4 linked regions of the Macaca fascicularis genome follow. The protein of the gene in region 2 interacts with the protein of the main gene of each other region in a biochemical or structural test. Links are inferred from orthologs where the notes say so. Each region holds a gene or a part of one and is shown on either strand. Other genes may lie near its edges.

Region 1 (7,659 bases), on a different chromosome or scaffold from region 2:
GCTGAGCCATGATCGCCTGTGATCAGAAGCACAAAGAGCTCTTACATAAAAAGAATATGAAGTTCTCAGAGTGCATTAGCCAAGAATATTTCCAACAGGCAATCTATGGCATAGGTAGGATAATGCTTTAACAGATTTCATTTTGCCTAAAGGGCTATTTCTCTCATTTTTTGCAGACACTTACAGCAGCCTGAATTTCCGACCCACTTTCGAGCACAAGTTTTAGTGTGGAAGCAAACAGCGAGGGGTGGAAGGCTAATGCGGAAGCTTTGGAATCACAACTGTGCAGGGACAGAACCTGCTTTTTAATTCTTTAATATAAGACAAGAAATGAGAGAAAGGGTTGATGAAAGTGTGGAACCCTTTCCCTGGTGGACATTTCCAGCTATTCAAGGTGAACTGAAAGTGGCTTCAGAATGTACACCTGAAGAAAGAGGGCTGAGCACTAAGGCCATACTCGAGCAGCACCTGGAGGCCTGCTGCCCACCTCCAGCCCACAGACCTGCGGCTGAAGCTCCTCCCTCTCAGCTTCCCAAAGTGCTCATGACGGAGCAGGACATAAGGCAGCGATGTGCTCGCTGTTCATGACAGATTTCCAAGGAGTGAAATCAAAGACTCCTTAGAAATATTTCTTGGCATCCTCCCCAAAACATAAATGCTATTGATTGAAGATTTAATGACTCAAATGAATGCAATGGCTCTGACTGGCTTTCTTGAATGTACCACTGTTATTTTTTTAAACCCATGAATAATTAAATAGTTCATACCCATGGCATCACTGAGATGGCTAAAGGCAGCAATCTTTTTCAAATTTCACGATCCTTTCAACAAACACTGCATTGACTAAATTTCAGCCCTTTCCTGACCCAGGGCTCTATCGTAAACCAAAGCCCCAGGGCACTGCAGAGGAGGCCCAGGACCTGGTCTGTCTCTAGCTGAGGAGGCTACAAGTGACTAGCAGGTGCCACAACTTAGTTTAACTTCAGTCTACTGCCAGAGAGAGAGAAATGGTGTTCTGAATACTGAGGGTGTTTTCCTGGAAACAAGAAAGGGGACAGGGAAGGTGGCAGCACAAGCTGAACTGCCCCACAGAGCGCTTCCTTACCCGGGCACTCTGGCCAGCTATCAGCTGATCGTCTTCTGTCTGGACGCTTGTCCTACTTCTGACATCGAAATCTTCTGTCTCAAAGTCAGAGTCATCCAACTCCTCAGGGGTCTGCCACCAAGACAGAGATCACAAGTCAGACACATCTCTGGGTCACAGGCCACCAGCCCCCAGCCACCCTGAGCCTCTTGGCCAGGTGCACGGAGGCCCAGAATTCTGGATTTTAATGTGCAGTGTTCTGAACAGTATGATGAATAAAGTCACAATCACTCAGCATTTGTCTCGAGCCTCTGCTTCACTGCTGCACGCGCTGGGCTGCCTGGCCCACAGCAGGCCTGCGCTGGCTTCACTGTGTGTGGGGCTCAATGGCTATCACTGAGTCAATTCACTATTTCTTTATAAGACATAAGGTTGTTTTTTTTCCTTTGAGACAGAGTCTCGCTCTGTCACCCAGGCTGGAGTGCAGTGGCGTGATCTTGGAATCAATGCAACCTCCATCTCCCGGGTTCAAGTGATTCACCTGCCTCAGCCTCCGAGTGGCTGGGATTAGAGGCAACACGCCACCACGTCCGGCTAATTTTTGTATTTTTAGTAGAGACGGGATTCCACCATGCTGGCCAGGCTGCTCTTGAACTTCTGACCTCAGGTGATCCACCCCTGCCTTGGGCTCCCAAAATGCTGGGTGGGATTACAGGCGTGAACCACCGTGCCCGGCGACATAAGGTTTTTACTTCCTAATTTACTTCCCCAACACCTGTATTTTAAAGACAAAGATGAGAACTGTCCTGGATAGAAAAGGTACTGACTTAAAAATAGAGGTGTTTTGTATAGTATTAAGCAGATTTGTTTAACTTTCCTACTTTATGACAAAAAGAAAATTAAATAACTGAGCCTTCTGTTAGGGTACCAAGGCTGCTTGGAGGAGTAAAAATAGGCAATTTTAAAGTATTCTTTTGACTTTCATCAAAAGAAAAGAAGGGAGAATATGACAGGTAAGGGCTGAGTAAATACCCAAGGGACTGATTACTCGTCCTAGCTCTTTGCTTTAATTATGAAATAAAATTCTTATTTTGTACCAACTACCAGCCTCTCATGATTAGCTACTGACTTGAAACATAATGTTGTCCTCTGGCAGTTATCAGTAAGGGGGCAGCAGGCAGAACAGCTGGGGTTGGCGCTCGGCCCAGCCGGCTGGCCTGTGACAGGAGGGCAGTGAGGCGAGTCCCTCATCTGTACCAGGATCTAGTCCAAGCGCAGCCCAAGGACTTGCTGTGAGGTTCAAACAAGAAGATATGCAAGAAACATTCCGGAGCCACCAAGAGCGTGCTGCGCAAAGGCTGGGCCTGTCCCTTGATGAGGTAAGGAGTGGATGCTCACTCAGGTGGCACCAGACAGCATGTCCGCGTGAGGTCCTGGAGGCCGACGGACTTGGTGACACAAAACACAATGCCAGCACTGACGGTTTTAACACTGCAGTCACACATGCCTTCGGGACTGGCATGCAATCAGTTAAGGGGCTTTTCAAAGGACCACCTCCTAACATCATCTCTGCCTTCCCAGGACCCCATCGCAGACCCAAGAACCGTTCTTGCCAAGAAAACCGAGTACTCTCATTCATTCATTCATTCATTCATTCTCTCTCTGCCAAGCATTCTGGGCCCTAGAGATACAAAGTGACAGACAGATAAAAATTCCTCTCATGCCTATTCTAATGGAAGAAATGGCAACAAAGTAAGCAAATGAATTATATGACACATCAAAAGTGGCCAGTGTATAAAGAAAGCAGAGAGGAATAAAGCGAGGTTTTAACTCCATGCGGGTGTTAGGAAAAGTCTGATGAGAAGGTGCTCTCGAGGGGTAGGCGGGGCGGGCGGCAGCATTGAGGCTGTGGGGAAGGGGCGTTGGCCCAGGGAACTGCGTGAATAGCAAGGAGGCCACAGAAGGGGGGCTTAGCTCACTGCCCCTATGTCACCGGCTTGCCTGGAACCCCATGAGCACAAGGGGAGATCAGCAGGAGATGAGGTTGGAGAAGTGACAGGTTCTAGTCCTAGAAAGCCTTGTAGGCCAGCATAAAGAATGACGTGGCTGCCTGTAGAGAGGATGGCACAGAGGATAGCATGATCTGACTGAAGCTTAGAGAAATCGCTCTGGCTGCCCTGTGGCTCATGAGACTGTAGGCACCCAGGATTGGAACGGGGAACCAGCTGAGTGGCACCTGCATGAACCCGGGTGAGAGGTGCTGGCGGCTTGGACGAGGGTGAGAACATGTTCAGGTTCTCTACTGTGAAGGGAGAGCCAAAAGAATTCACAGATAAAGCGGATGTGGGGTATGGGACAAAAGGGAAATAAAAGATCCGAGGTCTGCGCATGAGCAAGGGAAGACGGAGTCACTATCAACATGTGCTGCCTGGGTGGAGCAAGTGAGAGGGAGGAGGCAAGGTGCACAGGCAAGTGTGGAACTTAGGAGAGTCGGCCTCTAGACAGGACTCTGAAGAGGCCAAGGACTTCCCAGCAGGCCACACCCATGTTTCACAGGCTGAGGAGATGGGGAGAAACCAGCCAAGGAGACTGAGTAGGGGTGTGGGTCAAGAGATTTTTTCCCCCTTAAAAATGGGAGAAATCATCATAGGCTTGGGGAAAGGTACAGAAGGCAGGGGGTGAAGAAGCTGGGACCCCAGTACAAGGACATGCAAGGGACGGCCTCAGCCAGAAGCACCAACAGCAATGCCCATAGTCCTAGGAGGAAGGCAGAGCACACAGGCATGGATGCAGCGGGGTGGCCGTACTAACTGCCTCAGTATCCTCAATGAAATCGGCAAGAGGGCCAAATAGCACAGGGGCACAGGTGTGGGTGGGTGGACGGGCACCTGTTGCAGGGCAGCAAGGGCCCACAAATGGCCGCGGCTTCTGCGGCTCCGTCGGCGTGGCTGTGGCCATCTGCACTGTGCTCAGGAGAGCAGGATCTTGCTAAGACTGCACCTTGCAAGGCAAGTGTAAGGAAACAGCTGGGCAGAGGAGTGAGAATATTCAACTATGGACTCAAAGCTGAAAAAAGACTGAACCAAGGACACAAGGGGCTGAGTGAGTGTCAAACAGGGAGGACCAACTGACTGAAGACCCCACAGTGGACTCAAAAGGCTCGCTGGGAGTTGCAGGACTCAAGGGCGCAACCTCAACAATAGAACCGGGCTGCTGGGAATGACAAAGACAATGGCAGGCAGTGACAAAAGCTGAGGTACGGCTATGGCCACGAGGCTGAGGTGGAGGAGGACAAGACATCAAGAAACTGAGATGCCCAGGGGCTGGAAGGATAATTCTTGAATGAAGACAGGAATAGTGTCAGAGAGCAGGACGGTAAGCCGGGAGCTCAACCACAGATGCCGCAGAGGCCCGTTTCTCCTCTGCCCTTGCTACAGGCCCTCCAGGCATTCTGGCTATGGGGAAAGGGGTTCAGCACTTGGCCATGAGCCTAGGAGCATCACCTGGGGCCACTTCTCCCCGCAACACCCTGGGGTTCCATCATCCTGTCTGCCTGCAGCCTCTCCGAAGAGAGGGGCACTCCATGTGAACAGTAACTTGAATCTGCATTACGAAAAGACTTCCTTCTCTGATACTAGCTTGAGAACCATTATTTTCTATAATTTCCTGCCTAACTCAAACTGAAGCCTCATGTTGTAGAGACTGTTTATCCTAAATTAAATCGTCAACTCAGGCTAGCTCCTCTTCTTGGCCCAAGTTTGGGCTCTAACTTGCAACTAACAGTCATTTTAGACAACATAATTAAATATATCTCATTCTAACAGATTTTAGATTCATGGTTTTAATATACTGCTACCGCATCTGCCGAGTTCTAGAATGACGCATTGCTCAAGTTTAGCAAATGATAAGAAAGAAGCTGTTAAGTCTGAAATGCAGTTACTCACCCTTATCATCAGCACTGCTTTCCTGATGTCCCGGATACCATCATATACCAGGCGGGAGGCATCGATAAACTCATTCTCATCCATTGGCTGGGCAGGGTCCGAGCTGAGGGCTTCCACGGCCGCCTCTACTTGCTCAGTAAAACGTGGCATGACTGTGGAGAAAGGGGCACAGCAGATGTCCTGGTATGCAGGCAGCATCATTCCCCTGACCCTCCCTGAATCACTCAGCTAGACAGAAAGAGGTGAGGCTTATGATGAAGAGCCTCTGCTTCTATCTATGTGAGGAGTATTTATGGTTGAAATAAATGCAGTATTTTACAACAACTCAACAACTCAAATCATCTTTTTCTCTGCAACAGAGGGATTGGATGGTTGAGGGATTGGATGGTTGAGAACTTGGAAGTGAGACTAACTTGAAGCCTTGCTTAAGAATAGGACCTCAGGTTAATAGTTTAACCTGAGGTTAAACTCAGAAATTCATCTTAAATAGTGTGTTTAGAATTAGTCCCATGATTACTCATGAGATACACATGAAGAAAATATGCTTGTGAGGCCTGAATTTGGCTATGACCAACTTCTCAGGAGCCCAATGTGCCATGAGACCAAATCTGAGTTCCCGACTCCTCCTTCCTCACCACAGGGCTGGGCTAATCGGGTGGCCTGCCCTACTCAGGTTGCAGTGTGTGCGAGCACTGAAAAGCTAGAGTTCCCGTACCTGTGTTGGAGAGAAGCTTAGTGGCTTCCAGAACCTTCTCTGTGTAGACTCCAGGCTCATAGTTGTCCATCTCTGAGGTGACTACGTGAATGACCCGGGCTGCCCGGCCTCGAATTGCACCAGCTGTGCGGTCCAGGCCATCCACATCCTTCTCCTGGAGAGCAATGACACATTTGTTCACATCTTCCAAAATGTGATTCTCTGGAGAACAAGCAAAAAGCTGAATGAGGAAGGAGGCCTTCTATGAGAAGGTGGCAACTGTAAGCTGGCATCTATCATTTATTGTTTGCTTGGTGCCAGCCACAGTGCTGAAAGCTTTACATATATTTCATTGGAGAGACCAGTGACTAGTGACAGAGACAGAAACTAAACCTGTTATCACCCTCAAGAATAACAATCTTCATTCCAGGCTTTAAAAATAAAACAAAATAAAACAAAAAACAGGAGACATGCCCATCTTTGAGACACAGTTGTTCTGTAAGCCTGGCAGAAAATCACAGAAGCATCAATAACTTCTCTTCCTCTAGCTTCACTGACCCTGTGTCCCAAATAAAGGAAAGGCTAAATTAGAACAAAAGTCCACTGTCCGCTCTCCCTCTCCCTCCAGGAGATGCTGATGATATTCAGACAATCTACCAAGAAGCCAGTACAGCCCAGGGATAGGAGAAGGTGCTGGAAAGCAGGTTGAAGCCTCCTCTAGAGGAGCCTGAGGCATGAGATGAACTATTTAATAACCCTCTTCATGGTACACAGATGGGCTTATTGTGATATTTGAAGGGTCCCTAGAGGTGAAAACCCCTGACTCCTATGAAGCTGATGGGTGGCTCCTAACAGTCACACAGCTGAATTTGGGCAAAACACCACAACTATTTTTCCTCAAAGGAAAAAGCCTGACACTATACATTTTTAGGAACCCCACCACAAAGAGTTTGCTCAAACTCATCTATAATAACAACGTGGAAGCAAACCAAGAGAAGAGTGGATAAGTGAATTATGGGAACTATGCAGCCATTAAAGTGCATATCTGGAGGCTGAGGCAGGAGGATGGCTTGAACCCAGGAGGCAGAGGTTGCAGTAAGCCGAGATTACGCCGCTGCACTCCAGCCTGGGCAACAGAGTGAGACTCCGTCTCAAAAACAAAAACCAAAACAAACAAAAAATACCTTTCCAGAGAAGGCCAGGAAATAGTAAGAATTCTTATTAGAGAAGGGAAAACTAGATTACTGCAATATAGTTAAGACCATATTTTGATCTCTATTAATTACAGATTATGAGACTTGCCAGGGTTTATACCAATGAACTAATGAAAGAGTAAACATATTAAACTTCTAACATAAACACATTTTAAGAGGGACATTTAAACCAATTACAAGAATAAACGGATTTGGAGCCCATCACAAGCATTTCTGAAGTATATAAACTCTAATAATTCAAACTAAAAAATGTACTGAGCAGGCCGACCATACAAGGTCTTGGGTTAAAAATTGTTGCTTTTACTGGATCTAACACGATACCATTAAGATGAAACTTGCATTGCTAAGGAAAAGAAAGGAATAAAATGGAAAGTGTGTTGATAACAAAACTAAGAACCAATATTTTCTCATATCATTGATTTTAAGACTCATCCCTGTTTCAGAATCAATGAAGTATGGCATTCCTTCCCGTTCATTAAACAAAGTGACCCAAACTTCTACCAAGGATTTTTTAACCTTTGTCTAGATACATCTATTTTTTTTTTTTTTTTTAAATCCATCTAGACTTTCTTGAATTCATCCTGGCCTTCTTCTAGATGAACCTAAACCAGGAAAGGGTACGCCATTTTTTAGAGTAACATTCCCCACTTCAGGAAGCTGAACAAAGTAATATTCTCTACCCTCATGAAACACTTGTCTCTAGGAAAGCCCCAGCCTCGCTGA
Region 2 (8,323 bases):
TCTTGTACTTGCACTGAGTTGTAATTGCTTGTTTACACACCCCGCCTCCCCACTGGGCTGTGTGACTTCCTTAGCGTCAGGACTTGGGGTGATTTGTCTTTCCGTCCACAGGGCCAGGTGCATGGTTACTCTTGGATCTATGAGTATGGAAGCTAGGAATCTTTGAGAAGGCACATCCTTCAACCCATAAGCTCTGCTCGTGGAGGCAGCTGTCCACCACAAAATGTCCTTCTGATGCCAGTGGTAGAACAAGTGCTGGTTGGAGCAGGCTGCAATTGTTCTTATGTTCTGATGGCCATCTTCTACTGTCCCCTCCCCCTTTTCTTTGTCAGGTCTTTGCCCTGCGCTGTTCTTTGGACCCTGAACAAACCCTTCTCCCCACCCCTCCAATCCTGTCTTTTCCTTCAGACCTCATGTCGGTGTCCCTGGCTCATGGAAACCCTCCCTGGCCAACCTGCTTTGATCAGATGCTGGCTCCTGCAAAGCTTCCTGAGGGCAGTGCTTTGTTTTGCACTTCATTTGTCCCTCAGAGCACAATGCACTTGGTCGGCATTTGTTGAATGAATGAGTAAAGAATTAGTGATGGCATATTTGCATACCCATATTCATGGTAGCATTTTTCACTATAGCCAAGAGGTGAAAGTAACCCAAGTGTCTGTTGACAGATGAATGGATAAATAAAATAAGTCATATACATACAATGGAATATTATTCAGCCTTAAAAAGGGAGGAACTTCTGACATACACCAGCGCCTAGACGAACCTTGAGGACATTATGCCATGTGAAGTAAGCCAATCACAGGAAGACAAATCCTGTGTGAGTCCACTTATATGATGTGTCTGTTGTAGTCAAATTTGTAGAATCACAAAACAGAATGGTGGTTGTCAGGAGCTGTGGGGAGAGGGAAATGGGGAGTTGTTTGATAGGCAAGAGTTTTGGTTTTGCAAGATGAAGAGTTCTTAAGTTCAGTATATTCTGAAGTGTGAATATACTACTGTCCTAGTCAATTCCTACTCCTGTAACTGGGAAATTTAAAAAAACCCAGAAATTTATTTGCCCACAGTTTTGGCTGGGAAGTTTAATAAGATCAAGGCAACAGCAGATTTGGCATCTGGTGAGGGCAGCTCTCTGCTTCCAAGATGGCAGTTGCTGTATCCTCACATGACAGAAGAGGTAGAAGAGCAAGGGGGTCTAGCTAGGTCCCTCTAGCCCTTTTGTAAGAGCATGAATCCCATTCATGAGGTTGGAGCCCTCTTAATCACTTCCTAAAAGCCCCACCCCTTAACACTATCGCATTGGGTCTTAGGTTCCAGCATGTGAGTTTTGGTGAGACACATAAATTGAAACCTTAGCAACTGCTACACTGTATACCCTTGAAAAGTGAGAGGTTAGGAGTGCCGACCCTCACACAGTCAAAAATCCATGTATAACTTTTGACTCCCTAAAAACTAAACCAATAACCTGCTGTTTACCAGAAACCTTACCATAACATAAACAATTAACACATTTTATATGCTATATGTATTATATACTGTTTTCTCACAATAAAGTAAGCTAGGGAAGGAAAATACATTTATTACACTAAGTGGAAGTGGATCATCCTAAAGGACTTCATCCTGATTGTCTCCATGTTGAGTAGGCTGAGGAAGAGGAGGGTTTGGTCCTGCTGTGCCCTGGCGGAAGAGGTGGAGGAGGTGAAGGGGAGGCAGGGGAGGCAGGCACACTCTGTATAGCTTTTACTGAAAAAAACCCATGGATAAGTGAACCAGGGCAGTTCAAACCTTGCTGTTCAAACCTAACTGTACTTAGAAATGGTTAAGATAATAAATTTTAGGTTATATATTTTTCAGCACAATTAAAAATAAAAAAGATTTAGTGTTGCTAGAAACTATGACCTCTGGAGATCACTGTAGAAGAATCTGGAATTCTTAAATTCTAGGACATCTCTGACTTCTGGGTAATATGCGTGAACTTAAGGGAAAGAAGTATTTATTTCTGCATCAGGGTAAGCTCAGGTGTTTTCCTTAGGACTGTCAGAGTGAAGGAGTGAGCTGGCCTGAACCCTCCCCGAATTGCCTGGGTTGTCAGGCTCCTCTGCACGTGGGGCCTAGTGAGCCAGTCCATAGGCTGAACCTGGCTGGTATGTACAGAGCCTGCACATGTCTGCACAGCCTAGGTTAAGGTTTGGACACTTGCTTAGATTCCAAGGTCCTCCTTTGTACCCACTGCCCTCTTCGCTTGTAGGATTTATTATTATTATTATTATTATTTTTGAGGCAGAGTTTCGCTCTTGTCACCTAGGCTGGAGTGCAGTGGTGGGATCTTGGCTCACTGCAGGGTTCAAGCGATTCTCCTGCCTCAGTCTCCAGAGTAGCTGGGATTACAGGCACCTGCCAATATGCCTGGATTTTTTTTTTTTTTTTTTTTTTTTTTGCATTTTTAGTAGAGACGAGGTTTCAACATGTTGGCCAGACTGGTCTTGAATTCCTGACCTCAGGTGATCCTCCCACCTCAGCCTCCCAGAATGCTGGGATTATAGGCATGAGCCACTGCACCAGCCTGGATATATATATATATTTTTGAGACAGGGTCTCGTTCTGTGGCCCAGGCTGGAATGCAGCAGCCCGATCTCAGGTCACTGCAACCTCCGCCTCCTGGGCTCAGGTGATCCTCCTACCTCAGCCTCCCAAGTAGCTGGGACTGCAGGTGTGCACCACCATGCCCAGCTAATTTTTCTGTTTTTAGTAGAGATGGGGTTTCACCATGTTGGCCAGGCTGCTCTCGAACTTCTGGGCTCAGGCGATCTGCGCATCTCGACCTCCCAGAGTGCTAGGATTACAGGCATGAGCAACTGTACCTGGCAAAGTGTAGGATTTGAAACAAACTTTTATTCACTTTTGATCTCATTTAACTGTCATAACACTTACTAAGAACTCAACTGAGAACTTACTGTCATAGACCCTTAGGAAAGGACACACACATTTCCCAGTGCCTGTCCAGCACCAGCACGAGTGCTTTGTGGAGATTGCCTTGTTTCTTGCTGACATTGCCCTTCTGAGGTGTAGATGGTTTTATCGCCACTGTATAAAGAAGGGTATAGTATATCCAGTGCCCCACAGCTAAGTGACAGGACAAGGATCTCACTCCAGATCTTGTGACTTTAAAAATCACTTCCTTGGCTCTGCTTCGCCTTGTTTCCTAGATGGTGGCCATCTCATGGTCCAGATTTATATACATCTCAGCCTCAAATCAGATGGCACATTTGCCATTTGCAAGCTATTTGACTCAACCCATTGGCATATAACATACACCATGGTAGCAAGAATTGGCCAGAGGCTCCCCAAGACCAGGCTTCTGAAATCCCAACCCCAGCTCCCAAGCCCCAAGCATCCCATAAAATCTTTGCTAGATGTTCAGAAACCTAAAATTTGCTTCTCCACCCCTCCCTTCTCCCCAGGTGGTAAAGACAAAGAAACAGATGGCAGGGTTCTTTGTTATTCTTTTATCTGCTAAGTTTCCAAAAAGGTTAGATAGTGGAACTTTGCTGAGCAAGCCTTCTGTCCCTGAGTTGTCCCTGAGCAGCACCAAATGATCGAGTCTTATCTCCCCCTTGTTATCTCCAAGGATATAAAATGTTTTCTTTTCATGCCTTTTAATTTCTATGTAACATTAGCCATTCAGTTGACCTGAAACATTGCTAGTTTATTTCTGGCTGGCTTGTGTGTGTGTGTGTATCAGAGGGTCTATACTGTATACATAAATACTTCTCTAACTATTCTTTTCCATAGTGTTGCTCTAAAATGTCTCATTTACTTAATACTGTCAACTTAGATGGTGAATCATTTTATGTGCCTAAAAGAAATATCTACTCGGATGCTCTAGTTCCCTGGCAAGGGAGAGAGAGGGAGAAGAAAAAAGCTGTGAAAGTGGTGCAAATCCGAACTGCTTTCTTTTTTGCTCATAAGTAGTGCTTTTCAAAGCGTTTGGCATCCCTGCCGTATGGATGTGTCACTGTGTGAGATGACAACAGGATTTGCTGGAAATGTGGGCCACTATTGTATCCGCCTTACGTAACCACGTGGAGTGATGGAAATGGGTGAGCAGCCCGGGATGTAGGCGGTGGCCTGGCCCATGCATCTCCAGAGACCATGAAGACTGCTCAAGCCCTGCGTAGGATGTGGATCCAGGCTGTTAAAAAGTTGGGGAGATGGAAAGGCCGTGTGAGTCCCTCTGCAAGCTCTCCCCTTGTTTTCCCCAACCTTTCTTCATGGGAAGGGGAGGGAAGCAAAACCATTCTCTCAGTAACTCCTTTATCCTCAGATGTGTTTGTGCTTCTGGCATCTTTCAGCAACAAATTGTGAGATTGTAGGTTGTAGCTAGTCACTGGTGGTTTTTTAAAAAAAATACTTGTATTGATTTTAGCACATCTGTGTGAAACTTATAGCCTCTTACTGGATCTGTGGATCAAAGGCTGCTGTTGTCCATGTGCTCGGAATCTGTAATGGTTTTGCTTCCTGGGTAGAGCTTAACATACTGGCTTTTGTGTTTGTTCATGTATGAGAATTTCTTGTTTTGGCATAAAACTTTTTGCTTTCTTATGTTGCAGAAATCTATATTCTTACTATGTCTAGGCTTCTAACTTAGAAGAAGAAAAAGTGTTTTTCACATGTTCTTTTTTTCCTTGTGGTTTGAACATGTGTGAGTGTTTACTTTTATGACTTGAGACTTACGAAGCGTGTCTCTTATGTGGACAGCTTTCAATTAATCTTTGGTTTTAGCTTTGACCTCCATCACTGGGCAGCAGCAGTCCATGGATATAGAATCTAAAAGCCGCCTGCTCAGGGGGACTTTGGGCAGTGAACACTTCGGTATCTGTTTTAGGGTTGGCTTTTAACACGTTTCTACATTTTTTATGTAAAATATATAGGATTTTAACCTGTCTGGCCAAGATTTTTCAAAGGAAAAAAGCTTTATAAAAAGTAGATTAAAAAAAGCACAACAAATAACTATTTGCCTTAGTTCCTTTCTCTTATTTTGTCACACAAAAACCTTACTGTTAATGCATTAAGTTTTTTGTTTATGGTAGAAGAGTTAGCTTACTTTTAACTTTCCATGAGGTCTAAGAAGCCTGTTATGATATAAAGGGGGTTGTCATGAACACTACTTACATGAAAAGTAAAAGTGATAAGGAAAGATGATGAAAGCACATTGAAGATCCTCCTGATGGATAGAATGTTGACACTTGGATTAAGAAGGCGATTTAGCGTTTTCTGCGTGCACCTCCCCCCACAGCTCCCCAGACCTAACACCTGTGTCCCCACCCTGCCCACCGCACCTGCCTTGCTTCACCCCCCTTGCCCCTTTCAAATTACTGGTACCATCCCTCAACTTGCTCTCCTTCCAGTTGAAATTATTGTACCCTCTTCACTTTGCAAAATTCTAACTGCATTGAAAAATTTGCTGTTAAGTATACCTGTACCTCTTGGATACCTAGATCCTTCACCAGGAGTGAGTATTCACTTTGATGTTCACCCACTCATCTCCCTATTTTTTATTTATTTATTTATTTTATTTATTTATTTTTTGAGACGGAGTCTCGCTCTGTTGCCCAGGCTGGAGTGCAGTGGTGCGATCTCGGCTCACTGCAAGCTCAGCCTCCCAGGTTCACGCCATTCTCCTGCCTCAGCCTCCCGAGTAGCTGGGACTACAGGTGCCCACCACTACGCCCAGCTAATTTTTTGTATTTTTAGTAGAGATGGGGTTTCACTGTGTTAGCCAGTACGGTCCCGGTCTCCTGACCTTGTGATCCACCTATCTCGGCCTCCCAAAGTGCTGGGATTACAGGCATGAGCCACTGCGCCTGGCCCGGCCTCATCTCCCTATTCTTTTAAACTTATGAAATGTTTGGTACTCTAAAAGAATTAAATATCTAAATCATGAAGCATAATAAACAAATGCCATGAGCCCATTACACATATCTGCAGACCGTTACCAAAACAAAACACAAGGGAAATTTGTGTACCTCCCACCACACTCTGCCTCCTGCCCAGGTCACCTCATCCTGAATGTTATGTTTTTCATTTCCTTGCTTTTTCTTTATATTTTCACTGCATGGGTGCGTACGCGCGCACACACATACACATACACACAAACACACACCCCTAAATAATAGATTAATTTTGTTGGCAATTTTTTTCTGTAGCGAAAATGCATAACAAAATTTACTGTCTTTACCATTTGTAAATGTACAGTTCAGTAGTGTAAAGTTATTCAAGTTGTAAAACATTGTTTTTTGAGCTGTATAAAAATGGTATCATACTCTACAAATCCTTCTGGGGTGTTTTTCACTCAACTTTATGTTTGAGATGCATCCCTTTTGTGGTGGTCTGTGTGACTGGTTTGTCTGTCTTCATTGCAATATAACATTGTATTTTAATAATGTATCAATTTGTCCATCCTGCCCTTGAGAGATACTGGGATATTTTCCAGGTTTTGGCCGTTGGGAACATTGCTGCTGTGAATATACATGTGTCCTTGTGCATATAGTCACACAGTTTTCTGGGGGCCTCTGCCTGGGTAGAGGAATGACTGGGTCGTGGAATGTGCATGCCTTTAATTCTGATGTATGTGTGCTGTCTCTATGGGCCTGCCTGTAAAGCTCCCCCTCGTGCTAAGCAGCTACCTGCTGTCATTCAGAGAAACGTCAGTTATTGCTAGCAAGTCTGATCTGCGCATAGCCAAGCACAAGTTGGGCGGGACCAGAGCCCGGTGGCCTAGTTTGAATGTCATGACCACAGCTCCCAGCTAAGCTGCTGCACCCTGGCAGCCTGTGCCCAGGGATGTTCCCAGAGCTGATGTTCTGAGGAATAAGGATGATTATGTGGGGTGCTCTATGTTTCTGAAAAATTATATAAATGAGGCAGGAAAGACACTCAGTAGTTTGCTCTTTGGTAAACTGCCCAAGGGCTTTGGCGGTTTTATTCGCTGATGTGCCTGAAGTGCCACAAACCATGTGCTCGGCAGAAAGTGGATGCTTAATCAGTGTTTTTGCATAAATGAACAAATGAATGAATAATGAAGAGTTTTCTGTGAGACTTTCCCAAAAAGTCACAGTTCTGTAGGCTAAATATACATAGTTATGGTGTATTTTTAATGCTCAACAGAGCTGCAAAAATTTACTTTTACTCTAGTTCCCTACCTTTACAATTAAGATTTTCTGTTTATCACTTGGCTTAGCAGAGCATATGTTCTTTGAATATTACATTAAGTAGCTAATGGTTAATTTTACTACCTGTTGACCGTAGGTAAGAAGAAGCCTCGCGATCTGATTGGTTTCAGGCACCAGGCAAGTTAATAGCAAGGTCTGATTGGTGGTGGTGGTGGTAGGAGATTAATCCTCTCTGACAAATTTAATTTAAATTACCCTTGCAGGCAGCGCAGGAACACTTAAAGATACTGTCATCCTGTTGTTGAAGGGCTGTGAATTTCAAAAGCCAGATTCATTCTACTTGAGCCACATTTAAAAAATAAAATTTTGCAGGAACTCATTTATTTGGCTAAATGATAAATTTAAATCCAAAACTTTGAAGAGTTTGTAGTTTTAAATTCTAAAATAGAAAAGTATTTTTAAAAGTAATGTACTCATAAAAATATTCTCTGTAATAGCACAGCTCCTTGGGATATTGAGCTTTTTTTTTTGGTATGTAGCATTGCCCAATCCTGGGGATGATTGTCATAGTCCCAGTTAGGTTTTTTCCTGATAATTTTAAAGTAAGTTTTGTGGGGAGGGTGCTATGTGATTTTTTTTCCCTTTAATTCATGTGGCTATGACTATATCCAAAGAAGAGTTGGCAAATATATTTATTTTACCACAACTTCTAGATTAGTTCACTTTGTTGAAAGTTGACAGCTTTAAGGTATAAGAAGGCATTGAGAAGATGAGCTTGGAGAAGTGGGCATGCTCATGAGGTCATTTCTGGGTGGTAGTGGCTTGGTTTTACTAAGGCCACATCTAAAACTGAAGTTGGTAAGGAGTTAGTAAGGTGTTCTATGGAAATGGAAAAGGGCAACCAATTCCGATTTACTGCAGGAGTTCAGTTGAGTGTCTGCTTTCTTTTTCCCTCCCTCCCTCCCTCCTTCCCCCCTTCCCTCCCTCCCTCCCTCCCTCCCTCCCTCCCTCCTTCCCTCCTTCCCTCCTTCCCTCCTTCCCTCCTTCCCTCCTTCCCTCCTTCCTTCCTTCCTTCCTTCCTTCCTTCCTTCCTTTCGAGACAGAGTCTCACTCTGGAGTGCAGTGGTGCAATCTCAGCTCATTGCAACCTCCAC
Region 3 (7,659 bases), on a different chromosome or scaffold from region 2:
TCAGGCCAGGTTGGCCACATCTGAGGTGGAAGATGGAGGGAGCCATAAAAGAGAAAAGCCAAGAAGGAGGGAGGAAGAAAAGGAGGGAGGGAGGGAGGGAGGAAGGATAGGCTTATGGCACCTCTCTTCAGCCTGTAGCCGCTCCTGCAACAACTGATTCTGGGACTCAAGCTGAGAGAGGCTGGCACTGGGCTTCTGGAAGCCTTCTGAGCTGGCCAACCGGGTCTTCAGGTCTTTGTTCTGAGAGAGATAGGAAGCCTCCACAGTTAGCACTCCACTGGCCACTTTACCCACCTCCTGGGGTCCATCCCTAAGAACCCTCCCCTCCCCACTCACCTGTCTCTCCAAGGAGATTTTGTCACACTCCAGGTCCTGCCGAGCAGACCTCTCCTGCAGGAGCTCTGTCCTCAGCTGATCTACCTAGTGGGGATGGGTGAGAGGACGAGACTTGGGGGGGGCTAAGGATGAACCAGCAAGCTGAACCAAGTGAGGCTGAGTCATGGGAGGATGGTCTCTGAACCCTGAATCCAAAAATTCCCAGGCAACTAAAAAAATCACAGCATATTCAAATGGGAGGAGCCAGAGAATGTAAACAGGGCCTCCTTCGTCCCACCAGGAACTAGTATCCCTTGTAAACTAAAGAAGCCCCAATTCAGGTCAGAGAGTAGCCCAGGCCACCAGGATCCCTTCCTCCACACAAATTATTGGCTTCTTTCCACCCAGGGAAACTGGTCAACCTTTCCCAAAGCAGACGAGACCCTGAAACAGACCCAGCCATGCACAGATTCGGCAGCCAGATGATGAAAGATGGGAGGGCAGAGTTGTTTTTGAGAGAACCAAGAGGTGATGTAGTCAGGGGTAAACAGAGATGAGGGATAAGGAGGGGGTTACCTGGTCCCGGCCACGATTCACCCGGTCTGTTAGCAGCTCCACAGTGTTCTTCTCCTCATCTAACTCTGCTTCCAGCCGTGAGACTTTTTCCTATGACGGAAGAACAAGTTAATTCTGTCCCAAATGCTGGACACCAGAATGCCAAACTCAGACCAGGAGCCTCTCAAACTCCCGCATTAACAGACTTTTCTCTCTTGCACATCCCCGTAACCTTTTGGTACTTGCCGGGGCCCAGAGCCACCATGGAGCCAGCGCCCTCTGCTGACCAGATGTGGCATCACGGGCAGGTCGGGGCCATGCTCTGGTCACTTTGACAGACAGGCAAATCTACTCTTCATTGGAAAACCCTATTTCTCTAATGGGGAAACAGAGAGAAACCCAAGTACCTGGGCCAAGGCTGAGATGAAGAGACTCAGAAACTGAGGCACTGGAGGCAGTACCATGTAGAGGCTAAGAGTATATACATGGGACCAGACTGTCCAGTCTGAAAATCAGATTTACTGCTTCCTAGACCATGGACAAGTTCATCGCTCTGTGCCTCAGTTTCCCTCATCTGTAAAATGGAGAAAACAAGACTACCTACCCCAGAGTTATTCTGAGGATTAAGTCTTAACTGCCTATCACACAGCACAATATGTTTGCTGCTGCTGTTATTATTATCAAATATAGCAAACTGAAGAATACTGTTCACTCTAAAGGGGAAACCCACTGCTCAGCTCCAGCCAACTGTTGCCATGCAGACTCAGGACAAGACACTAAGTATTACCGTATCTGCCAAATACAAAAGAAACTAGAAATCCAAATGTTTAGGTGACATCTATAAATTTCTAAACATTGGCAATTGATTCAAAGTTGTTTAAAATACTGCAGCCGAACAAAACTCATCAACTGTGGGCTGTCGGTTTTGACCGCTAGTACAGAAAGAGGCTTGGAAGTCCCACCCCTTTTCCACAGGTCACACCCCAGTGCCCTCACCTCGAGGCCCTTCAGCTGCCGGGCCCTGTCGTCCTGGGAGCGCTTCTTGTTCTCTGCCTCTTGCTCCAGCCCCTGCAATCGCTGGGCCAGTAGCTCTTTGTCCAGCCGGGCTGTGTCCCGCTCAGCCTGGGATGCCTGCAGGGCCTGCCGCAGCCTCTGGATCTAAGCAAGGGTAAAAATGCCACAGCTCAGTGTAGTAAAAAGGTGAAGGTTGAAGGGCAGGAGCAGTCCAGCCCAGTGGGCAGAAACATTTCATCACTGTCACTCTTTAGAATTACCAGTGGCATGGTGACAATAAAAAGCAGACTGACTTTTCATCCATTTTCTTTTCTTTTTCATTTTTTAGATGGAGTCTCATTCTGTCACCCAGGCTGGAGTACAGTGGCGCGATCTCGGCTTACTGCAATCTCCACCTCCCAGGTTCAAGTGATTATCCTGCCTCAGCCTCCCGAGTAGCTGGTACTACAGGCATGCGCCACCACGCTTGGCTAATGTTTTGTATTTTTAGTAGAGACAGGGTTTTACTGTGTTAGCCAAGAAGGTCTTGATCTCCTGACCTTGTGATCCGCCTGCCTCAGCCTCCCAAAGTGCTGGGATTACAGGCGTGAGCCACTGCACCTGCCCTCATTCATTTTCTTTATTGTTTCTGTTTTTGTTTTTTTTTTGAGACATGAAATCTCACTCTGTCGCCCAGGCTGGAGTGCAATGGCACGATCTCGGCTCACTGCAACCTCCACCTCCCAGGTTCAAGCAATTCTCCTGCCTCAGCCTCCTGAGTCGCTGGGATTACAGGCGCCCACTACGCTCGGCTAATTTTTGTATTTTTAGTAGAGATGGGGTTTCACTGTGTTGGCCAGGCTGGTCTCGAACACCTGATCTCATGATCTGCCCACCTCAGCCTCCCAAAGTGCTGGGATTACAGGCGTGAGCCACCATCCCCAGCTTCTTTATTGTTTTTAAAGTCTCTACACAACTTGGAATCACCTGAGGAGTTTTTTAAAATACTGATCCTGGATCCCATCCCCAGAGATGATGACTGAAGTGGTATGGAATACAGCTTGGGTGTGGAGATTTTTAAAAATCTCCCCAGGTGGCTCTAAGCCACAGAATTTGAAAATCACTGCTCTACAGACAATATATTCCTCCATGCTGCAAGTCATTAGACCTAAACCTGGGCCCCAGGGACCCTTGGTCACAGGTTCAGTTAAGAGGCAAGGATGGGGCCGGGCACAGTGGCTCACGCCTGTAATCCCAGCCCTGTGGGAGGCCAAGGCAGGCAGATCACGAGGTCAGGAGATCGAAACCATCCTGGCTAACACAGTGAAACCCTGTCTCTACTAAAAATACAAAAAAGTAGCCAGGTGTGGTGGCGGGCACCTGTAGTCCCAGCTACTCAGGAGGCTGAGGCAGGAGAATGGCGTGAACCCAGGAGTCGGAGCTTGCAGTGAGCTGAGATTGCGCCACGGCACTCCAGCCTGGGCGACAGAACGAGACTCCGTCTCAAAAAAAAAAAAAAAAAAAAAAGAAGCAAGGACCTTCAAACCCAAGGATATTAGGCTTCTACCTCATCCTGAAGCCGGCTCAGTCCCCCAGAGGTCTTCTCAGCCTCACTCGCCCAATCCTTGGCCTGGCGCTGGGCATCTGCCACCTCCCGCCGGGCCTTTTCCTTATAATCCTCCAGCTGGGCCTGGAGCTGCTGCAGGGCTTGCTTAGAGTCCTCCCCGATCTTCTCCAACTGAAACACAGAGAAAAGGGTCTTCAGCACTGTATATAAATGTCCCTCTCCAGGCCCAGACTCCCAAGACTCTCCCCCAAGGGTCTCCTTCCTGACAAGGTAGCCTTCTCTTGTTCTTTCCTGGACCTAGGTTCCTAGTATAGCTAATAGTTATATACAGATGTCTGGGTTCAAATCCTGGCTCTACCACTTACTAGTGACCATATGTAAGTTACTTATCTCTCTGGGTTTCCGTTCCCCAACTGTAAAATGGGATAAGAATAGTAGCTATATCACAAGGTGTTGTGAGAATTACGTTAGTTAATTATGTGAAGTTCTGTACTTACAACAGTGCCTGATACAAAGTAAGCCTTAAATGACCATTTCAGCAAACCCAAGGTGCCAATGATTATAAGACGTACAACTAAGAAAAATCTGCCAATTGAACTATAACATACCATAAGTTATAAGACACAACTCTATTTCAGAAATGATAAAATGTGCATTTTTTATTGACAAATGATAAAATGCGCACTTTAGAATTGATGTAATATATTACTTGTTTGTTCTTGTTTTACAAAAAGATTGGGAGGAGAACCTTAGCAGCAAAAGCAATTTATTTCCTTTTCTTTTTTCTTTCTTTTCTTCTTCCCCTCACCAAAATTTAAAATTCTACCAATGAAGATTTTTTTTGTTTGACAGGCTCTTGCTATATTGCAGTGGGGCAGTTATAGCCTGCTATATTGCAGGCTACAGCTCACTGCAGCCTCAACCTCCTGAGCTGAAGTAATCCTTCTACCTCAGCCTCCCGAGTAGCTGGGAATACAGATGTCTGGGTTCAAATCCTGGCTCTACCACTAATTAGCAACCATAGGCAAGTTACTTATCTTCTCTGGGTCTCAGTTCCTCACCTATAGAGAAACTGAGGCACAAGCCACCACACCTGGCTAATTTCTTTTTTTTTTTTTAAGTAGAGACAGAGTCTTACTATATTGCCCAAGCTGGCCAATGACAATTCTTGTATATAGGTTTTGTAGACTCCTAAGGGAGAATCCCAGGAGATGCTCTCCAAGAATGAAGACCATAAAGGAATGGGATGTGAGGGAAAGAGCAAAAACATGGAGGGGAGGTAGGAAGGATGCCCCTTCCAGAAGATTTGGTCTTGGTCTTCCTAACAATGTACTTGAGGAAAGCAAACATCACACATTCTTTTTTGTTGTTCTTAAGACAGAGTGTTGCTCTGTCACCCAGGCTGGAGTGCAGTGGTATGATCTTAGCTCACTGCAACCTCCGCCTTCCAGGCTGAAGTGATTCTCCTGCATCAGCCTCCTGAGTAGCTGGGACTACAGGCACGAGCCACCACGCCTGGCTAATTTTTTATATTTTTATTAGAGACAGAGTTTTGCTGTGTTGGCCAGGCTGGTCTCAAACTCCTGACCTCAGGTATCTGCCTACCTCAGCCTCTCAAAGAGCTGGAATTACAGGCGTGAGTCACCGCACCTGGCCATAAACATCACACATTCTGACTAACCCCTCTCCCCTAACCCCCTGTCCCCTCAGGCCAGCTTCTGGATGAGCTAGGCCTCTTCCTAAAGGCCCAGAATACCCCATGCCCCACCTCCTTGTTCAGTCGGTCCACAGTCCTATCCAGCAAACGCTTCTGCTCCTCCAGCTCAGCCTTGCCTCGCCGGAGCACCTCCCGCTGCTTCCCTTCCTCCTCCAGGGCCCGGTTCAGTGTCTGCTGCTCTTGCCCCAGGCGGGCCAGCCCCCGCTGAGCCTCCTCGAGGCGTGCCTCCAGTGCCCGCTTGGCTGCTGCCAGACTCCCTTCCTCTTCCTGGGACGCATTCAGGGCCTCCTCCAGTTGCTGTTTCTCTGCCTGGGAGGTAGGGAAGCAGGGTTGGACTGAAAAAAGGCAAAACTTGGGTTCAAGTTATTTGGAGGTGGGTAGCTGGACGGGAGAAAGGAGGTATTTATGCAAATGGTGCGCAATGAAAACAGGCTCCTAGCAAAGAAATCAGGATGCATACAGCAAGCAAAGGGTGAGAGATAAGAGACAAAAATACCAGTGCAAAGACTGGAACACTGGCGCCAAAGTATACTCCAGGAAATAGACCCAAGGTTAACAGAGGGTTTGGGGAGGCGAAACAGATGCACACTAAGAACAAAGTGAAACTGATGGCTGTTTAGCATAGGAGTATTTCACCAGGGTTGAGCAGAGAGGGCTGGGAGGGCAGAAGCACTGACCTCCAGCCGCTGCAGCTTGTCCCGTAGTCGTGCCTCCACCGCTTCCCCACCATCCACCAGACCTCGAGTCTCCTTCAGCTGCTGCTCCAAACCCAGGATGCGCCGGCGGAATTCGTCATTTTCCTCCTGGGTCTCCCGAAGCGTTGTCTCCACCGCGGCCCGCCGCTGCCCCAGCACTGCTGCCTCTGCCTCGGCCACCATCTTAGCCTAAGGACGGTTTAGGGGGTGGCAGCTCAGACCCCAGTGCTTGGGGCCATTGACCAAACCCAGGAAAGCCGTCCCAAAGACCGCCCATAAGAATGAGGCTTAAAGAAAGGAGCTGCCACCAGCCAGACGCTTCCCTGAAAATCCCACCCCTACAGAGATACAGGTGTCCTCCCCCTGCCAAATCCTGGCTTCTTTGAACCACACACCTAGGACCCAGGAACTGGTCAGTACATACCCATGACAGGTAACTTTCCACACCCTCTGGCTCCTCAGCCCTCCAGACACCCTCAGCCTCCACCTCCTAAGCCCTGTGCCCACTCCCCTTGCCTTGGAAGCCTCTTCACAGTCCTGTCGCAGTTGCTGGAGGGTCTTTTGTAGCTGGAGGTTCTGTTCTTCCAGCTCCCGACCTCGATCAGCCTCAACCCTCAGGACTGCCAGCTGCTTCTCCAACTCCCGGTCCCGGTGTCGCCCAGCCACCTCCTGGCTCTGCCGTTCTGCCTGCAGTTCCTTAAGCTCCTCCTGTGTCTGGAGCAGCTCCTGGAAGGAAAGGGGAGGTGATGGGGCACCTAGAGCCAGACTAAGATACCTGAATGTGGAGAAGCTGAAACTCTCACACACTGCCAGGGGGAATGAAAAATGATGTGGCCACTTCAGAAAGTAGTTCGGCAGTTTCTCAAAAAGTTAAACACAGATTTACCACTTATATCACCAGCAATTCCACTCTTAGGTAACCCAAGAAAACTGAAAATGTGTGTTCACACAAAAACTTATACATACGTGAATGTTCATAGTAGCATTATTCATTATAGCCCAAATGTATAAACAACCCAGATGTCCATGAATTGATGACTGGACTAAACATGGTACACCCACAGAGTGGAATATTATTCAGCCATAAAAAAGGAATAAAGTACTTGGCCAGGCGCAGTGGCTCACGCCTGTAATCCCAACACTTTGGAAGGCCGAGGCGGGTGGATCATGAGGTCATGACTGAGACCATCCTGGCGAACACGGTGAAACCCCGTCTCTACTGAAAATACAAAAAAATTAGCCAGGCATGGTGGCGGGCGCCTGTAGTCCCAGCTTCTAGGGAGGCTAAGGCAGGAGAATGGTGTGAACCTGGGAGGCAGCAGAGCTTGCAGTGAGCGGAGATCGCACCACTGCACTCCAGCCTGGGCAACAGAGTGAGACTCCATCTCAAAAAAAAAAAAAAAAAAAAGGAATGAAGTACTCATACTTGCTACCACATGGACAAACCTCGAAAACACTATGCTAGGTGAAAGAAGCCAGACACTTAAGTCCATATATTATAGGATTCAATTATATGAAATATCCAGAATAGGTAAATCCAGAGTCAAAAAGTAGATTAGTGGTTGCCATTGGTTGGGGGGATGATGGTTGTACAACTTTGTTAATATAATAAAAACCACTGGGTGCCAGGCACCAGTGGCTCATGCCTGTAATCCCAGCAGTTTGGGAGGCCGAGGCAGGTGGATCACCTGAGGTCAGGAGTTCATAACCAGCCTGGCCAACATGGCAAAACCCTGTCTCTACTAAAAATACAAAAACTAGCCAGGCGTGGTGGTGTGTGCCTGTAATCCCAGCTGCTTGGGAAGCTGAGGCAGGAG
Region 4 (8,143 bases), on a different chromosome or scaffold from region 2:
TAGAAATTGTCTTCCTAGTGGCTGCCCCATAAATTCTTCCATACACCTGTCCAAGGAAACTCTCCTGTGTGGACCAGGAGCCTCCCTCTTCATAATTGGGCAGAGATACCAGAGGCCTTTCAGGCCAGGCCCTCAGCAACTCCAAACTGAGTTGCCTTGGACACATACCAGTGCTTGAATTCATTTACTAAGTAGGCAAGGCAGAGTGGAAACCGTGGAACTATTTTAATCTCCCGTCTTTTCCCCTCTAAACCCTAGTACTAGAATGTAAGCCTTGAAATGCTACTAAGGAATGTGCAGGTTTCACAATGGCAGGAGGCCATCTGAGAGGAGGACAAGATTCCACAGGTACGTTGGATTTGGGAAACAGGGCTATAGTCGTTCATTCATTCATCCAACACAAAGTTATAGAATTCCTATTTCAGGCAGATAGGATACAGCAATGGCTTGTTAAATTTATTGAGACTTGTTTCATGGCTCAGCATATAGACTGTCTTGGTGAATGTTCCACATTCCCACCAACAGACTTATAAAGATAGTATTGTTTATTATCATCTCAAATTTACGGTGGAAAAAAATGAGGCTTATGTAGTTTAATTTCCTTTAGTCCTACCCAGCTACCAGGTAGCAACACTGGAATTTCAAATGAAATTTCTGACACCATAATCTGAGCTCTTAAGTTTCTCTTTTACACATAAAAAAGGAGAAAAAAAATTGTTTTTTCATCTTATCATCCATTTGACTGCAGGTAAAGTCAACAAGCTTCTAATCATGGGGTTCTTCTGAGAATAATATTTACATTGCTCTGAGTCATGGGGATTTTCATTAAGTAATATCCAATAGTGGATACTACTCAATACTAATGTGAGTTGCCAAGAAGGAATATTTGGTAACAATATAGTAGTTAAATTTTGCTATAATTTATGATTATGTAAATTTTAGATTAAATTGAGCATGGCATCATTTAACATCCAACAAATTTTGTTTTGGTATTGAAGAATGATGTGTTTAAGTTTTAAGGCTGGATTTTTCTTTCTAGACACTTTCAACTACCAAATATATACAATATTGGGCAATAGTTAACTGTTCTTTTGATGCTGTGTTGTTTAGAAAATTAATCTCAAGCGAATAAAATAGAATTCATATATTTCAACTTAATGAATCCTATTATTCCATATGGATGAACTCAGAACTAACTAGAAAGTAAGTTTCACAGAGATTTTTGAGTTTTGTTCACTCATGTGTACAGAGCACTCAGAAAATAGTTGAAGGAATGAATTGGGAAAGCAAATAAAATATGAAAGCTAACCTTCTACCCAACACAACATGTCTTTGAGTTTAGGTTTAGGGTGGGAATAAGCAAAATAACATGATATGCATAAATTATTATCTTAAAATGATAAAAAGTTTAATTTAAAAACCTAATTTACCAAGAGAACTGAAAACATACATCCACAAAAAAACTTGTACACAAATATTCATAGTAACATTATTCACAGCATCCCCAAAGGAAAAACAACCCAAATGTTCATCAACAGATGAATGATTAAACAAAATGTGATACATCGATACAACGGAATATTATTCAGTTATAAAAAGGAACGAAGTACTGATACATACTACAACATGGATGAACCTTTAAAACATTATGCTAAGTGAAAGAAGACAGACACAAAGGGCACATATTGTATTATCCATTCATATAAAATGTCCAGAACAGGCAAATTAATAGAGACAGAAAGTACATTAGTGGTTGCCGAGGGATGAGGGGAGAGGGGAAATGGAGAGTGACTATTAATGGGCATGGGGTTTCTTTTGGGGGTGATTAAAATGGAATTAGATGGTGGTGATGGTTGTACAATCTGGTGAGTATACTAAAACCCACTGAATTGTACGTGCCCTTTAAAAGGGTGAATTTTATGGTATGTGAACTCTTTTATAAAGTGGAAAAAAACTCCTAAGATCTCCTCTTCAGAACATATCAAAATACATTATAAAATAATGGACATGTGTTTACAAATCTGAGAGTATTAGGAAATGTTCCCTTGTTTAATTATAAACCAAGTGGAATGTTTGGAGATTTCAGTAATCTGACAGGGAACATTAAGAGGATTAACCTGACTTCCCCAGTGTTAACAATACCAATTTAAACTGCATCATTCAAAAACTACATAGTCATATTAAAGCATTTGTGGCAATGACTTCCACGAAAAAAATACCAATTAAATTAATTACTCATTAAAGCTGTCATCATCTGAAATACCTCATATTTACATGGTGCTTTTACTTCCTTAAGTATGAATTGTGCCTTAAGATCTAATGTATGGGAGAGTCACATCTCCAACCATTTAATTAAAGGTAGAGAAGTGGGTGGGATTGGATAGAAATTTATTAGCAATGCTGACATTCCAGATTGGAACGCAAAGACAAGCAGGATTTAAGAAACCTAACAGTTCGCTTTCAATGCAGGTAGTTAAATGCCAAGAACTATAATTACCTCATCCTGGAGTACAATTTAAAAATATGTTCAAAAACAACAAACATACATAAAAACATACACAGTGTTAAGTGCAGACTATGAAATTTCCTTTGGAACCATAATCCAGATCAAGAAATAGAATACAGCACCCAGGACTAAGGTGCTTTTTCGTTTTCTTAAAAAAATAAACAAATAAACCAGGTTTATTTTGCTTTTTAAGTAGGGTTCTTAAAGCACTACAGGTTGGTAAACAAAGTATAAGGTGCTTTTTCTTAGGCCAAAGAGCCATAATAGTTTAAATCTCCCCGTCCCCAAGAGCGGACCAGTTACATTTCGGAACGGGTGGGCAGGGGAGGACCCTGAGGTGGTGATGTGTAAACTGTGTATTATGCACTTTAGCTTGCTGGACGGCAACTAACAGCTACAGTAGTTCACCCTCATTTTATCCCCACTAAGTAACTGTCTTATTTCTGAATCTAGAGATTCAGAAATAGCGCCAATATTTACACACGAGTTTTGAAATTTTCCCAGGAGTCTTTCGTGGGAGCAACACATCTAGATGCCTTTTTCCAGCAACAGTTCAATCAAATTTTGGAAGCAGAAAAGTGTCCCGAGAGGACGTGCCTTTCCTATCAAAGTGCTTAGTGCCTAGACCCTTTCCGGAGGAAACAGTCCCCTCCGGACCTCGTTCGACGTCTCTCCGTCAGACACCCAAGGTTCCATGTGAAGCAGGCGGAGCACCAAACGCACCCCTAGGTGGTCCAGGACCCCCATGCGTGCTGCCCCCTGGGAGCCCGCGCTGCTCCTCTGCGCTCCGCCCCTCCGGCCGGAACATCGCGCGGTTCCTTTAACAGCGCGCTGGCAGGGTGTGGGAAGCAGGGCTGCGTCCTCCCGCCCCCTCCCATCCGAGTTTCAGGTGAATGGGTCACCGAGGGAGGAGGCCAACACACCACACCTACACTCCCGCGCCCACCTCTCCCTCCCTGCTTCCTCCGGCGGAGGCGGCAAGAACCGAGAGCTAGGGCCAGAGCGCCGAGGAGCCCGTCCGGGACGCAGCAGGTGGGTCTCTCGGGGCTGGCCCGCAGGCTTCCCGCACCCCCCTCCACGTTGGTGCGCATGCCCGGGGGCAGGGCCGGTTGTAGGGAGAAGGGGGAGGAGGGGAAGGAGAGAGAGGAGGGGGAGGAGACGTCCCCAGCCCAGTCCCTGGCTGCGCGCTGGCGGTCGGCGCGGCGTCAGGTGCGCCCGCCAGGTGAGCGCGCTCACTGGCTCGGTTGGCCCCCGGAGGGTCGGGCCCAGGTGCGGCCAGTGGGTGAGTGTTGGGCGCGGCGTCAGGGGCGCACGGGAGCCCCCAGGGTCCCCGTGGGGGGACCGCGGCGCCTCTGTTAGGGGAGGTGCGGGGGGGAGGACGCTCCGCGCTGGTTTCGGTGGCAGTTTCGTCCCCGGGCTGGGACTCGTGGGAACCGGAGAGGCGCGGGTCTGCGGAGAGAGCAGCACCGGCCAACTTGGGAGGCTGCCTCCCCGGGCAAGGGGCGGCTTGGAGCCGCCGATCAAGCTTTATTCCGCGGAGACGCTTAAAGCTAGCAGTGCCTCAGCGGCGCGGGCAACTTTTCACTTTTATGAGGCAGGACATTCCTGAACAGCGACGATCCTGCATCAGCTCTGGGGCTGCAGTTTTGGGGGGCGGCCCTCATGGAGAGGGGTCCTGCGCCCAGCTCGTTGGGGGTCCTAAGCTTGAGGCTGCAGCGAGAGACTGCTTGCTGGTCCGAGCCGCTTAGATCCCGGGGGGAATTTCATCCCTTCCGCTCCCACCCCACCCCACTCCTTTGGGTATCCCGGGGAGACGGGGGCTGGATTCAGTCTGAAATATTCCGGGAGTCACGGTGTGGGCCACACTGGCTACTTGGAATCCACTTGTTGGGAGTTGTGTGAACCCGCGCCGATTTAAGCTGGGGTTCACGGAGTTAATTTCGAGGGAAGCTGCTCACGCTTGGGATTCTCACCCGTGACCAAAAGGGCTGCCGCCAGGGGGGCGGAACTGCCTCCGGGCGGTGCCTGCCCAGCGAAAGCGGGCGCGCGCTGCCCGGGAGCACCTCGGGGCGCACGGACGCCGGGACCCGCGCCCAGCCGGGCCACGGAGTTTGGGGACCTCCGGGACTGGGCCGGCCTCGCACGCCAGCCATGTTGCCTGCGTGGAAGGAAGCTTGCGGGGAGCGGGGGTCAAGGGCCAAGATGGCCTCTGCGCCTACGGGTTGGAGGCCACAGGGCCCGAGGGGAAAACCGCGGCATCCTCAGGCCGGACCCGGGGCTTGCTGGCTACACTGCCCGCTTGGGGAATTATCCCGGGCGAGGAGGCGGCAGCTTTCTAGGCCAGTTAGTGTGTGGCCCTTAGGCAACAGGTGTATTATTGGAATACCTGGAAAAGAGAAACGCTTCCCATGAAGGCACTTATGGTGATTTAGAAAACTAGGCATTCCCAAGTGTAACAATAGTTCTTTTGCACTGTACGTATGAGTCTTTCTTTTGTTTTTATTATTATTATTATTATTTGCTTTTTTGAGACGGAGTCCGACTGTGTCTCCCAGTGGCGTGATCTGGGCTCACTGCAACCTCTGCCTCCCGGGTTCAAGTGATTCTCCTGCTCAGCCTTCCGAGTAGCTGGGATTGCAGGCACCCACTAGTATGCACGGCTAATTTTTGTATTTTTAGTAGAGACGGAGTTTTGCCATGTTGGTCAGGCTGATCTCGAACTGCTGACCTCAGGTGATCCACCCGCCTCGGCCTCCCAAAGTGCTGGGATTACAGGCAGGAGCCACCACGCCCAGCCTTTATGAATATTTTCTTAGTGGTGCTTTTTGAGTGTGTGGGGGCGGCACAGATATTTCCTCAAACAAAGCAACACTTTTTTTTTTTTTTGTCGTTTTGCAATATTTAGTTATTAGGGGCCTCCTTTGTTAGGTGATGGAGCGGAGGATAGGGAGGTCGTTAAGACATGATTCTCCACCTTTTGGCAGCTTCCAGGCCATTTCGGGAAATAATGGGCAGTGTCTCCTGCACGTGAGGCACAGTGCTAAAAGCATTCTGTATTTTCTCATTTAATTATCCCAACAACTCTAAAAGGCAGACCTTAGTAGAACTCCGTTTTAAAAGCGGGCATATGCTGTGGGGGAAACGTGTTGCGTGGGCTTGCTTGCAAACTGCTTCAGCTAATCTGGGAAGGAATATCAGAAGCAGCGGTCCTTGATATTCCAGAACCAGATTTGGGGGATATTTCTGGACCTTTGTACCATTGACTAGTACCTGTAGCCTGATACAAGATTTCCCGCATTTTGCTTGATGTCATGGTAAAATTCTTTTTTCTTCTAAAGGTAATGTTGGAATTACTGCCTTTCCAAAATAATAGATTACTTTTAACCACATAAATGATCTGATGTAATATCTTTCACCTTCCCAGGAACGTCCCAGAAGGAAGTTTTCTTCAGTTGCATTTTAAGGCTTATTTGATTGGAATATCAGTGGATCTTTTTCATCAAATTACTATTTATAGAAATAGAGTAAACAGACCATGTAGATTTCTGTTAGGCTTTTCGTTTTAACCCCTAAGCTTGCCGCTGTTCCGTAACCCAGTGATTGCAGTCTTGGCTGTAGTATGAATCACTTAGGGATCTTGTTAAAACACAGATTCTGATTGGGAGGTCAGGAGTGGGACCTGGGATTCTGCCTTTCTAACAGGCTCACAGGTGATTCTCAGACTGTTCTGTCCTCTTTTTCTCCCTTTCTCTTAGACTCTACTCAATTACATTTGAACACTGAAGTTGGAAGTAAAGGAAAAAAAAATAGGTTTATTGGGTGTTGATTGGGTGTTGTGTGAAGAACTTCAAGGCATTCACTGCTGGATTGAAATCCCAACTCTAACAATTGACGTGGTTTTATTAATTGAGTACTCATTGACAATCACTTTGTGCCAGGGCTAGTTTCAGGGACCAGGGATATAAATGATGGTCAAAATAGACATTCGATGCCTGGGATGGAGGCATTCCAGATGGGGTGGAGATAATACCTAAAATAATTTTAGGTATGAGGGCAGAGGGGAGTTTGCTCTGAAAAAACAAGTTTTGTGTGATGGAGTGAGGGACTGGGAGGGCATCTCCCAGAAGGTGGCATCTGAGCTGAGATGTGAACAGCAGGTGTCTGCTGTGTAAAAGATCTGGGCTTTCTAGACAGGAAATTGTAAGATCAATGTCCTTTTTGGATTGACACCATTACTGTAAACAGCAATTCTCAAAATACGTGGTGTGTTAAAAAATCACTTGGAAGGTTTATTAAAAATACAATTTCTGACACAGTCTATTACAAAATCTGCCTAACTTCAAATTTTTAGACAATTTAATGATGTGCCTATAATCTAAATCATTTAATATAAGGCACAACTTAAACTTTTTAAAGACAAACTGACAGTTACTGCTTGTGCCCTAAAAGGAACAGACTTCTCTTAAATATGTTTATTTTTCACTTATTGAAAGTTTTCTTTAAAGAATAATTTGAGGGCAAAGCATTTTCAGTCTATTTTTTTCTACTATATATATATATATATATATATTTTTTTTTTTTTTTTTAAAGATGGAGACGGAGTCTCTGTTGTCCAGCCTGATCTTGAAGTTCTGGGCTCAAACAATCCCTCTGCCTTGACTTCCCAAAGTACTGGGATTACAAGTGTGAGCCACCTCACCCAGCCTCAGCCTGTTTTTTTTCATCTTAGCTTAGTTTTCCATTAAGATAGCTTTTGGTCAGTAAACATTGTCAAGGGGAGAATGCTTTTTATATATTATCATTAGCTCAAGATGCTGGTTTTCAGATTAACATATTTGACAAGGATCTGCTGCTTCCCTTTTGCCCCTGACTCTCATTTAGCTATCTGACTTCTGTCCTTGTCACTCTTGACATAAGTTCATGTAGTTAATAAGTGGTCTCTTCATTCCTCATTTTATTTTTTCCTTCACTCAACACATGTACAGATTGTTAATGTTGCTGTGCTGGGCATTGGTCCTCTTTCACCTTTGGCTGCCGGCCTTAAAGCACAGTCACAGATTCACTTTGAAATTTCAGAGACCTTAGAAGTCCTCCAGTCTGGTCTCCAAAAAAATATCAAATAACTTAAGCTTTGCATAAATTGCATGAGCTCAAATTGTTGTTCGTTATTTTTGGAGGGGGTGTGGGGTCAGGGTGAGGGAGAGGCTTCCTAACATGGTGGTTTTTGGATTTTTTTTTTTTTTTTAACCATTTCTAGGATACAGCTCTTCAGATACCTCAGGGCTACTAAAGTGATTCTTCTAATGTTCAGTTCTCCAGGCCAAACATTTCCTGTTTTTCTAATTGTTTGTCTTAAGACATGGTTTTTCTAGATTTTTTTTTTTGGGGGGGGCCACAGTCTCACTCTGGCTCTCACTCCAGGCTGGAGTACACCGGCACAATCTCAGCTTACTGCAACCTCTGCCTCCTGGGTTCAAGCGATTCTCCTGCCTCAGCCTCCCAAGTAGCTGGGATTATAAGCCCAACTAATTTTCGTATTTTTAGTAGAGACGAGGTTTCACCATGTTGGCCAAGATGGTCTCGATCTCCTGACCTTGTGATCCACCTGCCTTGGCCTCCCAAAGTGCTGGGATTACA

What was found.
Region 1: the proteins of TJP2 (region 2) and CTNNA1 form a complex in vitro, tested with the Homo sapiens proteins (2 studies listed by BioGRID and IntAct, with this or other methods). The link is inferred for Macaca fascicularis from reciprocal best matches to the Homo sapiens genes TJP2 and CTNNA1.
Region 3: the proteins of TJP2 (region 2) and CGN form a complex in vitro, tested with the Homo sapiens proteins (2 studies listed by BioGRID and IntAct, with this or other methods). The link is inferred for Macaca fascicularis from reciprocal best matches to the Homo sapiens genes TJP2 and CGN.
Region 4: the proteins of TJP2 (region 2) and OCLN form a complex in vitro, tested with the Homo sapiens proteins (3 studies listed by BioGRID). The link is inferred for Macaca fascicularis from reciprocal best matches to the Homo sapiens genes TJP2 and OCLN.

Annotation. Positions count from the first base shown.
Region 1 is NC_088380.1:145,423,041-145,430,699, reverse strand, and holds part of CTNNA1 (catenin alpha-1), read right to left. Parts: intron 5,945-7,659; coding exon 5,744-5,944; intron 5,181-5,743; coding exon 5,029-5,180; intron 1,382-5,028; exon of another isoform or gene 1,217-1,381; coding exon 1,106-1,216; exon of another isoform or gene 177-1,105; intron 17-176; coding exon 1-16. UniProt on the Homo sapiens protein: Associates with the cytoplasmic domain of a variety of cadherins. The association of catenins to cadherins produces a complex which is linked to the actin filament network, and which seems to be of primary importance for cadherins cell-adhesion properties.
Region 2 is NC_088389.1:99,938,770-99,947,092, forward strand, and holds the start of TJP2 (tight junction protein 2), read left to right. Parts: upstream 1-4,142; 5' UTR 4,143-4,149; coding exon 4,150-4,221; intron 4,222-8,323. UniProt on the Homo sapiens protein: Plays a role in tight junctions and adherens junctions. Acts as a positive regulator of RANKL-induced osteoclast differentiation, potentially via mediating downstream transcriptional activity.
Region 3 is NC_088375.1:109,675,755-109,683,413, forward strand, and holds part of CGN (cingulin), read right to left. Parts: intron 6,569-7,659; coding exon 6,359-6,568; intron 6,032-6,358; coding exon 5,825-6,031; intron 5,457-5,824; coding exon 5,199-5,456; intron 3,602-5,198; coding exon 3,431-3,601; intron 2,029-3,430; coding exon 1,867-2,028; intron 982-1,866; coding exon 892-981; intron 421-891; coding exon 337-420; intron 241-336; coding exon 122-240; intron 1-121. UniProt on the Homo sapiens protein: Probably plays a role in the formation and regulation of the tight junction (TJ) paracellular permeability barrier.
Region 4 is NC_088380.1:75,172,678-75,180,820, forward strand, and holds the start of OCLN (occludin), read left to right. Parts: upstream 1-3,464; 5' UTR 3,465-3,538; intron 3,539-3,677; exon of another isoform or gene 3,678-3,788; intron 3,789-5,733; exon of another isoform or gene 5,734-5,844; intron 5,845-8,143. UniProt on the Homo sapiens protein: May play a role in the formation and regulation of the tight junction (TJ) paracellular permeability barrier.